Linked DNA regions of Rhinolophus ferrumequinum. The protein of the gene in region 1 interacts with the protein of each later gene in a pairwise test. Links are inferred from orthologs where the notes say so. Each region holds a gene or a part of one and is shown on either strand. Other genes may lie near its edges.

What was found.
Region 2: the proteins of DTX2 (region 1) and ABHD16A interact in binary tests that used the Homo sapiens proteins (3 or more experiments, as listed by UniProt). The two-hybrid records come from large-scale screens. The link is inferred for Rhinolophus ferrumequinum from reciprocal best matches to the Homo sapiens genes DTX2 and ABHD16A.

The regions. Positions count from the first base shown.
Region 1 is NC_046290.1:92,357,775-92,364,753, forward strand, and holds the start of DTX2 (probable E3 ubiquitin-protein ligase DTX2), read right to left. Parts: upstream 3,053-6,979; 5' UTR 2,907-3,052; intron 2,788-2,906; exon of another isoform or gene 2,712-2,787; intron 1,738-2,711; exon of another isoform or gene 1,573-1,737; intron 1-1,572. UniProt on the Homo sapiens protein: Regulator of Notch signaling, a signaling pathway involved in cell-cell communications that regulates a broad spectrum of cell-fate determinations.
Region 2 is NC_046286.1:2,188,166-2,195,713, forward strand, and holds the start of ABHD16A (phosphatidylserine lipase ABHD16A), read right to left. Parts: upstream 3,011-7,548; 5' UTR 2,957-3,010; coding exon 2,825-2,956; intron 1,782-2,824; coding exon 1,725-1,781; intron 1,005-1,724; coding exon 938-1,004; intron 693-937; coding exon 606-692; intron 1-605. Other genes in the region: LY6G6F (lymphocyte antigen 6 complex locus protein G6f), read left to right, coding at 4,804-4,861, 5,361-5,690, 5,774-6,037, 6,981-7,136, 7,310-7,376, 7,511-7,544. UniProt on the Homo sapiens protein: Phosphatidylserine (PS) lipase that mediates the hydrolysis of phosphatidylserine to generate lysophosphatidylserine (LPS). LPS constitutes a class of signaling lipids that regulates immunological and neurological processes.

The DNA.
Region 1 (6,979 bases):
TAATTCTCCTTTGCCTCCTGGATTCCCTGGCTTCACTCTGTCCCAGGCAGTTAGGAGAAAAACCTGACGCAACCTTCTCCCCCACTGCCCCACAGCTGCCATGGCTTGCTCTCTCCTGCCTCCTCAGCCCCCACTGCCAGCAACCAACTGCGACCTTTACGCCTCTCACCTTGATAAATATTCTCTCCTAACTGGCTTCCCCAACTCTAGTCTATCCTTCTAGTCCACCTCAGAGACAGGTGCAAGCCTGGGCTTCCTGAAGTATGGTTCTGATTCTGTCTCTTCCACACCTCCCCTGGATTTCTGGAATAAAGTTCAAGTTCTTTGGGTTGACAATGAAAGGCCATCGCAATCTGGTCCCTCCCCGTCAACAGTATTTGCCAGTGCACTTCCCTTCAATACCCTCTTTCATGTACACCTCCCTCTCCCAAAGAGTTTAAGTGATGACATGCTACCCCCATATACATCCCGTTTGCCCCCCTTTGTACCTCAGCTCTATGCAGAATCCCATTCACTTGACCACCCACCCTCACCTGACCCAACTTTCACGGCCCCATTCAAACATCACCTCCATGATGCCTTGACATGCCCAACTGAAAGAAGATACCTGTTTATCAGCATTCTGTCCGTTACAGTTTTTATGTCCATCCATGAGACTATGAGCAAGCTGAGAGCAAAATCTCATGTCTACGTCCCCCTACCAGAAGCTGGCATGGTGTAAGGAAACAGTCATCAGGAGAATAATCCAATTTAACCCATTCCACACTTTCCAGCCAGTGTGCTCATTGAAAACGCTCCTCATGGAATTCTTCTTCTAAAATCTTTCTGCTCCCCAGAGCCTTGGTATGGCCCACGAAACCCTCCACACTCAGCCCTCTATCCACCTTCCCAGCAGCCTCTACTCCACACCCATCCCGTTGCTGCAGCCACACGAAGCTACTCCCTGTGGCCCAGACATGCCAGGTAGCTTCACGACTTGTATATGCCAACTCCTCTGCCAGACTACTGCCCCTACTTTCTAAGTCCTACTCCTTCTTCACAACTCACCTTGGGTTATCATCTTCCGGAAGCCTTCCTGACTGTCCCACCTTCCCTTTTACACCTTCCTGGACGAGTGGCGGCTCTTCCCTGGGAGTGCCCCCTCAACATGTATCACTGACACCTTGTCACTGTCTATGGTGTCTTTTCCACCAAACCACAAAGTCCCAGAGTACTCTTGTTGCTCCTCACTGTACCCCCAGCACTGAGCTGGTATGACGCTAGTAAAGGTTCATGCAAAAAAAGAAATAAAAATTTCCAATTCAAATGCAGAAATCATGACTTTCGTCCTTCACCCCATAAAGCATGTCTTAAAGTGCAAACCATGTGGAAAGCACCCTCTAAGACTGGTTAAACAGGAGAAGCCGTTGGCCAGAAGCCACTTAAATTTATTTGAGCAAGTTGGCAATCAACAATCTACTCCCAGGCTCACTTTCATCCTGGAGACCTCAAATTCCACCCTGCCCAGTCCCCACCTTCTCTACTGAAAACCAGATTGAGAAGACAGCAATGTCAAGTCCCCATGGCTCTCACCTCCTCTCTCTGGAGAGCTGGCACAAACTGTCCTTTCTTGATGGAGACACCAGATCCTTAGGAGGAATGACTTGTTCGAGTTCCCATCTTGATATAAAATGCAAACAACAAAAACCAGGCAAATCTGAAAGGCTTGCTGACTCAGCGACACAAATTCCAAGGCACCTTTGCCAACAAGGAAGAAGATGATCAGGTTTTAAATTGAGAAACAGCAGTTAGTGAAAACGAATGCACAGATGTTGGGTCCATGTGCTGTGACTGGGGACTGGAAACCACCAGATTTATTTTCCAACAGCCTGGGCAGAGCAGAAGGTACAGTAGTCTTCCTTTGCCTACTCAATAATCAAGGGGATGGTTTAAACACACACACACACACAAACCCCGAGCCCTTTCATACTGAAGCCCAATAGGACTTTATAAGCCAGCCTGTAATGTAGGCATCCAGAAAATCAATACACCAGAGAGGGTAAAATTCTGGTCAAAGTCACACAGCAATGAACAAGAGACCTAGTTTTAGTTACTCTGATGGTTTAACTAAAGCCTCCTTTTGGCTCTTAGAAAGTCCACCTTCTAAAACTCTAGAATAGCTGGGATAGCATGCAAAAATATTTTTAGTTTCTTAAGGGTTCAAGCATCTGTGCACACACTACTTTCACTGCTAATGGCACTTAGGGAAGTGGAACCAGTGTGAAGAATAGCTGGCTGACAAAGTCGGGATGAAAGGGTAGGTAGTTCCAGAAAAAGTCTCCTAAATCCTCTTCAGCATACATTATGCGCCCCACAAAAGTAACCCAGGGTCTCTGGAAACCGGAGCTTCCCGGAAGGCAGACACCACTTGGGTCAGGGAAGCAGAGTCAGGTGGCAAAGTCCTCTACTGGAGCCCCCGCTCCAGTGAGTCATTCACCTGTGGACAGACCCCAACAGAACCCTCACCCTAACAAGGTAGCCCGGGGGTAATATCACCACCGCCTCCTGCGGGTCCTGTGAGAAGGGGTCCACTCCTCCCGACCGACCTAAACTTCCAGGGTCTGCGCCCCTCCCACTGCTCGCCCTTCGGCTTCCACCCTAGCGTTCACCCTCCCACCCAGCGCCGAGTCCTGTCCTAAGCTCCCAGCGCCTCCTAATTCCCCAACTCTCACCTCCGGGATCTTCAGTGAGGAGACCACTCCTCTCAACCCTCCCCGGACCTCACCCCGGGACGACAGTCCGGCCGGGCCCAGCCCTCCCACACTCCCACGCCCGCCCCCTTCCGGTCCCAACTCAGTTTGGTCTCCCCCGCGCCCTCCGGACCCCATCTCTGGCGACCGGCAGATGGCCTGTCCGCCCGCTCTCACCGAGGCTGAGGAGGGCGAGGGGGCAGGCTGAGGGCACTGCCGCGCTGAGGCGGCAGCTCCGGCTCGGCCTGGGCACGACTCCGGCTGTAGCTCCGACTCTGAGGAGGAGACAGCCAGAGTGAAACTCCGCGTCGCAGCTTCCTTGCGCTCCGGTGCGCATGCCCAGGACGCGGGGCCTTCTGGGAAATGTAGTTCAGGCGGGGGCGGAGCCCGGGGCAGGGGTGGGGCCGAGCCCGACGCGCACCTGTTCAGGTGTAGCTATTGTTCGTTCTTAGCCTGTTCACTTATTGACTTACTCCTTCATTACTTTACTGATTCGTTTCACATAGTTTTTACCAGTACATACATGGTTCCAGGCCCTGTGCTGGGTACTGGGGATTAACATGTCAATCGGAACTCGGTTTCCCTCCTGGAAGAACTTAGTGTCTAGTTGAGGATAAGACACAATTACAATATAGTGAGATAAATGTTGTCATAAAGGGGTGGGAGCAGAGAAAGGTGTACTTAATTTAGCGGGTCGGTCAGGAAGACATCACAGAAGGGTAATACCTGAGTTGTATTTTTCAAGCCCACATAGGGGTTTGCCAGATGGAATACAGGGAAGCCCATGCAAAGAGAGATGTGAAAGTGCCTGACGCATTCAGGAAGCAGTGAAATGTTCCTTGTGGCCAGAACAGAGTGTACATGGAGGGGGTGAGGACAGAGAAAAATGAATTAGGGTGTGGCAGGATATGAGAATGGGGAGAAGGCTGGGTAAAGTCTGATAGACTTTAAATGCCATGCAGGGAATTTAAGCAACTGGAGACAGCGTTGCCAGAGTCAGTGTTGAACTTTTAGAAGGATACCCTGTGTGGTGGGCGGAGGATAGACTGAAGGGAGAGAAAGGTGTAGGGAGACCTGTTTGGAGGCTGTTGCTGTAGTTCAGGTCAAAGATAAAGAAGCCTAAGCCAGGATGGTGATGAATCTGGAATCACATACTTCCTTTACAAAGCTAAAGAAAGTTATTCCCAGAAAAAAATGCTCAAATATCAGTGTTCACACGTGTACACACATATTACACACATTTTGCATACGGTTTCTAGGGAACAGAGTCCTCTGAATCTCAGACTCTAAGTATTTTTACATACTCTCATGTCACTCATTCTTGATCAGGGATTTCGAGGAAGATTCAGACTGCTGGGGATGGAGGAAGACACCTTCTCCGCATTTGGTTCCAAAGCTTCATTTTATAGAAGAGGACGCTGAGAACCAGGGTAGGGGAGTAACCCACCAGAAGTTCGTGAAGGAGAAGGAGCACCTGTCGTACGCCAAGTCTCTGGTACCCTAAGCCAGAACTCCACCACCTGGGAGCTGACTTAGAGGACACGTGCTTTGAGTCTAGAGAGGCACCAAAGTCAAGTTCTCCCACTTACTCCCAGAGCCAGACCTCCATCAAGAAATGAAGGATAGGGCCCGGCCCGGTGGCTCAGTCGGTTAGAGCTCTGTGCTCCTAACTCCGAACACTGCTGGTTCGATTCCCACATGGGCCAATGGGCTCTCAACCACAAGGTTGCCAGTTCAATTCCTCGAGTCCCACAAGGGATGGTGGGCAGTGTCCCCTGCAACTAAGATTGAACACGGCACCTTGAGCTGAGCTGCCGCTGAGCTCCCAGATGGCTCAGTTGGTTGGAGTGCATCTTCTCAACCACAAGGTTGCCAGTTCGACTCCCGCAAAGGATGGTGGGCTGTGCCCCCCTGCAACTAGCAACAGCAACTGGACCGGGAGCTGAGCTGCGCCCGACACAACTAAGACTGAAAGGACAACAACTTGACTTGGGAAAAAAAAAAGAAAAGTCCTGGAAGTACACACTGTTCTCCAATAAAGTCCTGTTCCCCTTCCCCAATAAAAAAAAAGAAAAGAAAAGAAATGAAGGATAGCATTTTATTTGTGATTTATACTAGGTGACTGCAGTGGCTACAACTCAGGATGGGAACATATCCCTTCCCCTTTCAGTCTCAGTCTTCTCAGCCATAACCATCTACAACATTTCTAAAGCACCTAGTGTGTGTCGAGTACTTGACATGCATCACCTCACTGAATTCTTTCAATGAGATCGGTGTTATCGTTATCCCTATTTTAAAGATGAGGACATTTGGGGTGGCTGGATGGCTCAGTTGGTTAGAGCGTGAGCTCTGAACAACAGGGCTGCCGGTTTGATTCCTGCATGGGCCAGTGAGCTGCGCCCTCCACAACTAGATTGAAGACAACAAACTGCTACTGAGCTGCCGGTGAGGCTGCGAGATGGCTCAGTTGGTTACAGCGTGAGCTCTTAATAACAAGGTTGCCAGTTCGATTCCCATATGGGATGGTGGGCTGCACCCCCTGCAACTAAGATTGAAAACGGCGACTAGATTTGGAGTTGAGCTGCACCCCCATAGCTAGACTGAAGGACAACGACTTGACTTGGAGCTGATAGGCGCTAGAAAAACACACTGTTCCCCAATTTAAAAAAAAGGACATTTGAGGCCCATTGAGACACAGAGCTTAAGCAATGTGTCTAAGGTGACATACACAGTTGGCAAGTGGCAGAGTGGCAGAGCTTGTCTTTACATTCAGGTAGTGTCCAATTCCAGATATGAGCACCCCCCCATGACTGGCCTCATTGGGGGAGGGAGTGCAGATGACATGGTCTGAAGCATTAGAAAAGTTATTCAACATTCAAAAGATAGATAGATAGATAGATAGATAGATAGATAGATAGATAGATTTTTTTTTAAAGATTTTTATTGGGGAAGGGGAACAGGACTTTATTGGGGAACAGTGTGTGTTTTCAGGACTTGATTGGGGAACAGTGTGTTTTTCCCAGGACCCATCAGCTCCAAGTCAAGTTGTTGTCCTTTCAATCTTAGTTATGGAGGGTACAGCTCAGCTCCAAGTCCAGTCAATCTTAGTTGCAGAGGGCGCAGCCCACCATCCCTTGTGGGAATCGAACTGGCAACCTTGTAGTTGAGAGCACATGCTCTAACCAACTGAGCCATCTGGCTGCCTGGGAGCTCAGTGGCAGCTCAGCAGCAGCTCATTGTTTTCATTCTGGTTGCAGAGGACGCAGCTCGCTGGCCCATGTGGGAATCTAAGCGGCAGCCCTGTTGCCCAGAGCTCGTGCTCTACCCAACTGAGCCACCCATCTACCCCAAGGTATTTTCTTAAGTGCTTCCTTTTTCCCCAGTAAAACGCTGGAATGATAGTTATTGTCCAAAAACCCCACTGCACACACACCTAGAGACACCAACAGAATAATGGTGGGAGAGTGGGTTTGAAAGCTTCTGGAATCTAGGCTCCGGAGAGGGGAGGATCTCTAAACCCAGAGAGCTGGAGCAGCTGGAGCTCTGGGGGAGGCTTGCCAGGCCTGCCAAGGTTGAGGACTAATGGGGGATCCAGGAGGAAAGCTGGGGTAGAGAAACTCAACGGAGGCAGGAAGGACACTCACTGTCTGGAAGCCTGGGTGCATGGGAGTAAACTCACATGGGGTGGAGAACACTAGAGAAGGGGGGTAGTCAACAAGTTGAGTATGAGTAGGGGAGAGGGAAGACCAGCCAGGTGTGAGGCTCTGGAGAGATCTGGGCTAGAGACAGGGATTTTGGAGTCACTGACAATGACATCGAGGTCACCTAGAAAGACCACAGAAGATGACAAAGGGTGAGTCCAGGGCTAAGAAACACTGGCCTTTGAAGGATAGGTGAGAGGTAGGAGTGTCTGGGGAAGGGGCTGGCTTGGGTGAGCATGGCAGGGAACCAAAGGGAGTGTCCCATGAAGGTGGTGCTCTGTGGTGATAGATACTCCTGAGAGGCCCAACAGGATGGTCCCCTGGGGGGGCAGCCTGTCCCAGAACCCAGGGCTCCTGCCTCCCAGGTCTGGGCTCTCTCATCTTTTAATCTGCCAGCTGACTTCAAGAAAGGTCCCAAACTTCTGACTTTGCTACAGGGAAGCCATTGGTGACCAGAGTGGTTTCCATGGAGAGTGAGAAGCTGGAGCAAATATGTCTGTGGTCATGAAGGTCAGGGATGCAGTCTAGAAGTGGAGATAGCTCTTCCAA
Region 2 (7,548 bases), on another chromosome or scaffold:
AGGAAACGTTCATGTGACCATCACCCAGGTCAAGAAAGAGAACAAAGCCACCTCGCAGCAGAAGTCCTCCCCTTCGTCTTTGCTCCCGCTCCCAGGTAATCACTCCTGACTTTCAAGATAACCATGCCCATGGTTTTCCTTAGTGTTTGCCACTTATATATGCATCCCTTTGGAACTTTGGAAACATAGTGGAAACATACTGCATAAACCACTCAACGCCACGTTTGTGAGATTCATCTGCGCTGCTGAATGTAGCCTGAGCTTGTCCTGGCATCACATTGGCGCGTTCTGATGCAGGACTGCACCATCTACCTAATGTATTTATCCGTCCTCCTGTCTGTGGCTGTGCACTTGTTTCCAGTTTAGCATAATTATAAACATATATGGAAAGACGTGAAATTGTTGTAGGGTATATGCAGCTTTTCTAAGTAACAGCAAACTTTCCTAGTCATTTTTTCATATTTACAATTCAAGCCCTTTAAGGAAAAGATCATGCCTTGACCATTCTCAATTATTTCCCCTTAGGGCCCAAGACAAAATTGCTGAAATTACTTAATAGATATTTACCCAGTGATGGATACAAACCAGGCTCTCTCTCCACCTACCTCGGAGGCAGGCCACACCTGCCAGCAGAAGTAACAATGTCCCAGCATAGTGAGAAAATGGCACCACTTTGGACAGACTCAAGTAACCTGGGAGGAGAGAGGGACTACGTGAGAAGCTTTCCCCACTGCACCTTAACTCCTCTTCCCAGTTCCGCCCCAACCTCCACCCCACACCCTCTCACTGGGACAGCCATGCCCTCAGAGGAAGAAGATGCCTGATGGAAGAGGGAAGCCAAGCCATCTTTGCAGGTCCCCTTTCCTCTTTAGGGGGTCGGCTCATCTGCCAACAATCTGCCCGTTTCCTGTCCCACCACCTTTGAAACCACACTGACCTTTCCTGTATAAGTAGAAGAAGGCGAAGGGAGAAGAGTAGTAAGAGATGGACCAGAAGACTGAAGCCTGCAGCAGAGAGACAGGGACAAGCAATCAATACACACACACACACACACACACACACACACGCACACACACCTGCCCTTTACCAGGCCTAAGCTCTGAGCAAAGTGGATAACCTGACGGATATCATATGAAGTACCTATTCTGTGTATGGCATCATGCACACAGTAGGTGCTCAATATTTGTTGAAAGGCAATGTGTCAGAGCATAATAGAGGCTAGGTGTAGGTTCTATTTTCTTCCTCTTATCGTCTCCAGACATAATTCATCACATTTAACGGCCAGTCTCTCTACTCAAGTTAATCAAGCCTTTTCAATTGGCCCTGCTCAGGACAGTCCCTGGTCTGGTCCCAAGAGATGCACAAATGTCACCACAGGAACCCTGCCAGAGAAAACAGCTGTCTCTAGAGCCAAAGAGGTTAGTTGCCAGGGAGGACAGGTCACTGGGGACTACAGGACTCAGCACCTGCAAATGGTCCCAAGAGTAAACACATTTTCCTCATGGCTCAGGCTGTCCCACAGAAAGCAGGGCACACGCCAAAGGGGAGTACCAAGTATGCACGTGCTTGACAGGGAGTCTCTGTGTGTTGGAGAGGTCTGCTGCAGAGCCTGGAGCATCCCCCACCCTGGGGCCGCTGCGTTCTCCCAGGCTGGGGAGGACAAAGTTCAAGAGGCAGAGGGGGCTGAAAAGATGCAGTAGTCTCAGATGTCAGAGCAGACGTACCAGGGCCAGGATGCTATCGGCATGTTTCTCCAGGGCCCGGGGCTGATAGTACGTATCCTGCCAAAACAGATGCCTGCGTTAAGGACCCTGCCCATTGACAAGTCCTCCCCCTTCCCTTCTGGAAGCCCTGATGTATGTCCTCTGGTTCCAGCCTCCAAAGCTGCCTCTCCTGGGACATCCCTGGCTCCGGAAGAAGCCCCTCTTCCCCACCCCCTCTCCTAACCTGATTTCCCACCCCGACCATGAGAACAAATACAGAGGGCTGGACTTGGAAGCAAAAGTGAAAGCAGGATTGGACGACTTTTGCTCCTTTTACTACGACCCAGTTTCAAATGGGTTGTGGACGGATGCCTGTGGGGAGAGGGGGGTTAGGCAAGAAAGGAAAGACACCATGACATCGTTCCTTTAAGAGGGAACGATGGACATCAGAAATAAGAGTAGGCTGATTAAGGAAGAAAATGTGGCTGGCTGGTGGCGGGGCAGTTTGTAGGGAACCGGAAACATGATTTGAGACTACAGATAAAAAGTAAGACAACTTAGGGGTACACACATCTCACCACACCACTCCCACCACCCCCAGCTTTCATGAGTGCAATGACCATTGGGTCTTCAGGGAAGGTTGCGGGATGATGTGGAGAGCAGCGGATAGGTGATATGTTGAAGAAGTCATGTGGAAATTAAAAACGTACTAAGGGGAAGATAAAACGGAGCCGGGAAGGCACCAAGGGTTACTGAGTGTGAAGAATTCGAGAGTTTGACGTCAAAACCATCCAGCTCCCGAATCCGCGCAGAGTCTCTCCCACGACTGAAAGAGTCAACTGGAACCGGCATGAACCATGACAGACAGGGTGGGGGGCCGCGAGAGGAAAAAGCAAGGAGGGGCAGTCGGAATGAGAAAGCGGTGGCAAACAGCGAAAAAGGAGGTGGCCAGTACACGGGCGTGACTTTAACCCCGGAAACACAAGGAGCGCAGACTCTGCGCACAACTGTGTTGACAAGCAGGCTCCCCCGATTTCCAAAAATGGGAGCTTCTGGGGAGCAAAGGCCGCAAAGGGGGTTGGGCCGTACCATGTTTCCGACCAGGGGAGATCTCGACTCACCCAGGAGCTGGAATGGGGGGTAGTGACTGAAGTTGGAGTCTCAGAGACGCTGGACGGGGCCCTTTCAGAGTCCCTTTCCCGGTAGATTTTGTAGAGCCGGGGGCCAAGGACGCAGCTCAGCAGCTTCGCCATGGCCCCGGCTCGGGCCGCTGCTCTCGCAGCAGCAGGTCCCCCTGCTGGCCCCGCCCCAGGTGCTGCGTGCTCTTGACGTCAGCACGTACCGGCTCCGCCTCGTACCGGCTTGAGACATTTTCCGCGCTTCGTGAGAAGGATTTCGTGCAGTTGGACCTACGGGTGCAGCAATGGTCAGAAATTCGACGAAGGCCTTTGGAACACGGAGAGTTAGAAAATTATCAGGCATAGTTCAATCACATTTTTCTATCGCTTAATAATATTGGCAGACACTCGAGTGACATTGGGAACGAGCGGTAGGATTAGGAGCCCTTGACAAGAGCAACAAAAAAGGTAAGGTGTCTAGGAATACATCTAATCAGAGAAATGCAAGATTTTATGAAGAAAATTATATAAAGTTATTGAAAGAGGTAAACGAAGGCTTGAATAAATGGAGAGCTACACCATGATCATGGATAGAAAGACTGAGTTTTGTTAAATGTGTGAAATACTGGTAAATAGATGAATCGTCGCTCTTAAGCATGGACAAATCTCAAAACCACAATGTTAAGTGAAAAAAAAGAAAGCCACAGAAGATTACATACAACATGACACCATTGTCTAAAATTCAAAAACACATAAAATTTAATGAACCAAGTAAGTGAAAGAGAAAGAACAAATTTAGACAAGTGTTACACAACGTAAAGGACCTTTGACTGAAATGGTAATAGTCTGTTTCTTAATAGATATACAGGTTTTAGTTTTCTTTGTACATTACACCTACATAATATAGAAACTCTGCCTTTTTAGTATAGTAACCACATACACAGAAAAGTGCATCAATTGACTGTGTCTCAGCACCCAGATCAAGAACACATTACCACACCTAGAAGACCCTCTCTAATCACCGCCAGCTGCTATCCACCCCCCTAAGAGTAACCACTACCTTAATTTTTAACCTCTTAGATCAGTTTTGCCTACTTTTGTACTTTACATAAATGGAAACGTACAATACATGCCCTTTGTTTCTGGCTTCTTTTTGAGATTCAGCCTTGCATGTCACTGTGGTTTGTGCATTCTCGTTGCTGTGGAATGTCCCATTGTGTGCATATACCACAGTTTATTTAGCTATTACACAGTTATATGTCAGATATAGTCTTTGGTATGCATGGACTATTTTATCAAAACTAATTTTTAAAAATAAGTAGCCCTTAAAAATATATATAACACATTACAAACTATTAGAGCTATATGAAGGTCTGCTCTGAGAGCCCTGCCTGGAGCAAAGGGATGAATCAGTGAATTTTCCAGGCCCCTGCTCTCCTTCTCCTTGAGTAATAACTTAATATACTCATCAGAAGCTCAGAAGAGGTCTGTGGTGTGCCAGGCAGCCACAAGGAAAGTCATTCTAAATCATTTCTGAAGTACTGACTGGGCATGCAGTCTCGTACTGGGTTCCATGGAGACCAACATGAAGACAGTTCTTCGCTCATGGCTGACGTCTTTTAAGGTTGGAGGAGAGAACACAGAATGGACTTCCAGACTGACAGGCGGGGGACAGCTATGACCCCTTCTGTGCAGGTTTCTTAGCACGAAGAGTCTTTGATCTGAGTCCCTTCACCTACGTGGGGTCAGAGGGTAAGGAGGTCATCTTTGGAATGGCCTAGACTAGGTCTTCTTCCTTCAGAGCAGAAAAGTGTTGGTCACTTTTTCCCCAGTAACCATGCAGCTGGGCTTTATCTTTCCAGCATTCCCATCCCCTCCAAAGGCCCATGTCACTCCAGACCAGGGAGTATGGGCCTTTATCTGGGCTGTTTCCTCCCTGGGGACACCAGCTCCCAGGCAAGAGAACTTGGCAGGCTCTCCACATGGCGGTCTTATTCCTCCTCCTTCTGCTCCTCTGTGGGGCCCCCCATGCTGCTGCAGGTAAGGAGCAGGAGGTGAGGGATTCTGCAAGGTCGTGAGGCACTGTCACTGTTTCTCCTTAAAGACCTGGGGAAGACATCTGACTCAAGAAGATAGATTTACCTTGACTCACCTCCCCTGCCTCTAATACTGGGGAAGACTCAGAGACAATGAGGGTCCAGGTCATGTAGAGTTTCCATTAGAAAATAAGAATGGATGAGTAAATGCTTCCAGGAGAAGGAAAAGGCGAAACATGAAAGAGAGATATGGGCGTTTGCCAACTATTCCAGCCTTTTCCCTCTTATCCTCAGATTCTCTCACTCTTTTGGGGAGAGGCGAGGAAAGCCCCTACCTCTTTTCTCCGTCTCACATTTTTTATAGCTGTCACTTGAGAAATGTGCTCACAGGCAGGCCACTGCTGAGGGATCTTAGAAAGGAAGGAAGCCAGGGGTTTGGAGGTCCGCTGGGTGTTTGTTGATCTGATGGAGGTCTCTGGCCTCACACAAGCCGCTTCCCACAGACAACATCCTGGCCATCCACGTGGTCTTGGGGGAGGCCGTGGAGCTGCCATGTCCCTCACCACCCACCCTGCATGGGGACGAACTCCTGTCCTGGTTCCACAGCCCTGCAGCAGGCTCCCCCACTGTCCTGGTGGCCCAAGTCCAGGTGGCCAGGCCAGCCGCAGAGCCTGGAAAGCCTGGAAGGGAATCCAGGCTCAAGCTTCTGGGAAACTACTCTTTGTGGCTGGAAGGGTCCAAGGAAGGAGACGCCGGGCGATACTGGTGCGCTGTACTGGGTCAGCGCCACAAGTACCAGAACTGGAGGGTGTATGATGTCTCCGTGCTTAGAGGTGAGTGGGGGCATGAAAACCAGGGGACACCGGGAGATGGGGGAGCCAAGGCAAAGAACTGAGGGGTCCCTCTCTCCCCACAGGATCCCAGCTATCTGCAAAGGCTGCAGATGGATCCCTCTGCTCTGTCCTCCTGTGCTCTGTGGTCCCCCCCAGACGCCTGGACTCTGTGACCTGGCTGGAGGGGAAGGGTCCTGTGAGGGGCCGGGTACAGTCCTTCTGGAACAATGGGGCTGCCCTGCTCTTGGTGTGTCCTGGAGAGGGGCTTCCTGAGCCTAAGGGTCGTAGACCAAGGATCATCCGCTGTGTCATGCCTCAGAACAAAGGGGTCAGCTTTAGCCTGGCAGGTAAACTGAGGGAGATATGGGAAGGCACATCCCATACCTGCTGGCTGGAGAGGAGGTGAGAGAGGAGGCAAATCTGTCCAGGAGGGATGATTTCTGGTGGAGCTGACCATATCTTGCAAGAGGAGGACTTTTTTCTCATTGACTGATTCCATAACAGAGAAGAGGGTTGGTTAAGCCAGCTATCTGGGGGGATAGACCATAGCCAAGAGTGAGAAGGAGAATCCTGGTGGAATATAGCATCGTCTAGAAATAGGCCAATCTGATTTGTGTGGCACATCCCATAGCAGAAAGGAAGAAAATAAGAATTACTGCTGGAGGAGTTGTCTTTTGAAGAAAGGATGTATGCACTGATGTTATAATGGCCCATTGACAGTGAAGGCAGAGGAGAAAAAAATAGAATCGTTTTATAAGAAAGTCCTTTACACAGAGGCAGAATGCTATTGGATGTGGAATAACCCGTTTACAAGGCCGGAGGGAGCAGCAAGTGGCCATTATTTGGGGAACAGAGGTCACCCATGGCAGCCGCTAGGCTGCGCTTCCCTCTGCATGCACGGCACCTGCTATGGTGTTGGCCTATGGCAGGCGCTCAGCGAACGCTTACGGAGCTGAGCAAGTGAACGGAAGAATGAACACATGGAAGGCACTTTTATTTTCTCTTGAAAGGGTAGATTACTGTGAAGGGTATGAGGAGAAATGAGCTATGGCCGGTTGTCTGCTCCAGAGTTAGCTGGCCGTTGTGTGGGGGGTGGGAAGCATCGCCGTTCTGCATCCATGTTGACTCATGGGGTCCGGGTGAGAGACCTGGAAAGGGGCAAAGTAGGGGAGGGGGTGTATGGGGGGTGGATTTGGGGGCAAGAAAGCTTACGAAGCCTCTCTTTGGGGCACAGGGACAGACCCCCCTCACTGCCTCACTCCTTATCCTCCTGTCTTGCCCTTACTGCAGCCTCCATGGATGCCTCCCCGGCCCTCTGTGCCCCTTCCACAGGCTGGGATGTGCCCTGGATCTTGACGCTGTTGCTCGCAGCGGGCCAGGGGGTCACCATCTTGGTCCTTAGCGTCATGCTCTGGAGGCGGAGGATCCACGGGGCTCAGTGCAGAGGTGAGTCCCTTTCTCCCAGAGGGAGAAAGGCCGCACGTGGGTGTGAGGCAGAGGGGTGGGCTCTCATCTTACCTCTGTACCCCATCTTCTCCAGGGCAGGAGGGGGAAGGGAATACAGCTCAGAGTTACCTGGTGACTTCTCTGCCATACCCCATATGGCTCTTGCTCCCCAGATGCCTCGATTCCTCAGTTCAAACCTGAAATCCAGGTCTATGAAAACATCCATTTGGCCCGACTCAGGTGAGGAACAACTAGAGGACAGAGGCTTAAATCCCAAAGAGGACTGGAGTTGGGTCGGCCTAGGGCTCTGGTTTCTGAGGGCATGGAGAATGGCGGTATCCTTAATGTGTCTTTCTGTTTCACAAAACCCACAGCCCACCTGCCCCCAGGACCAGATGGTCTCCATGACATC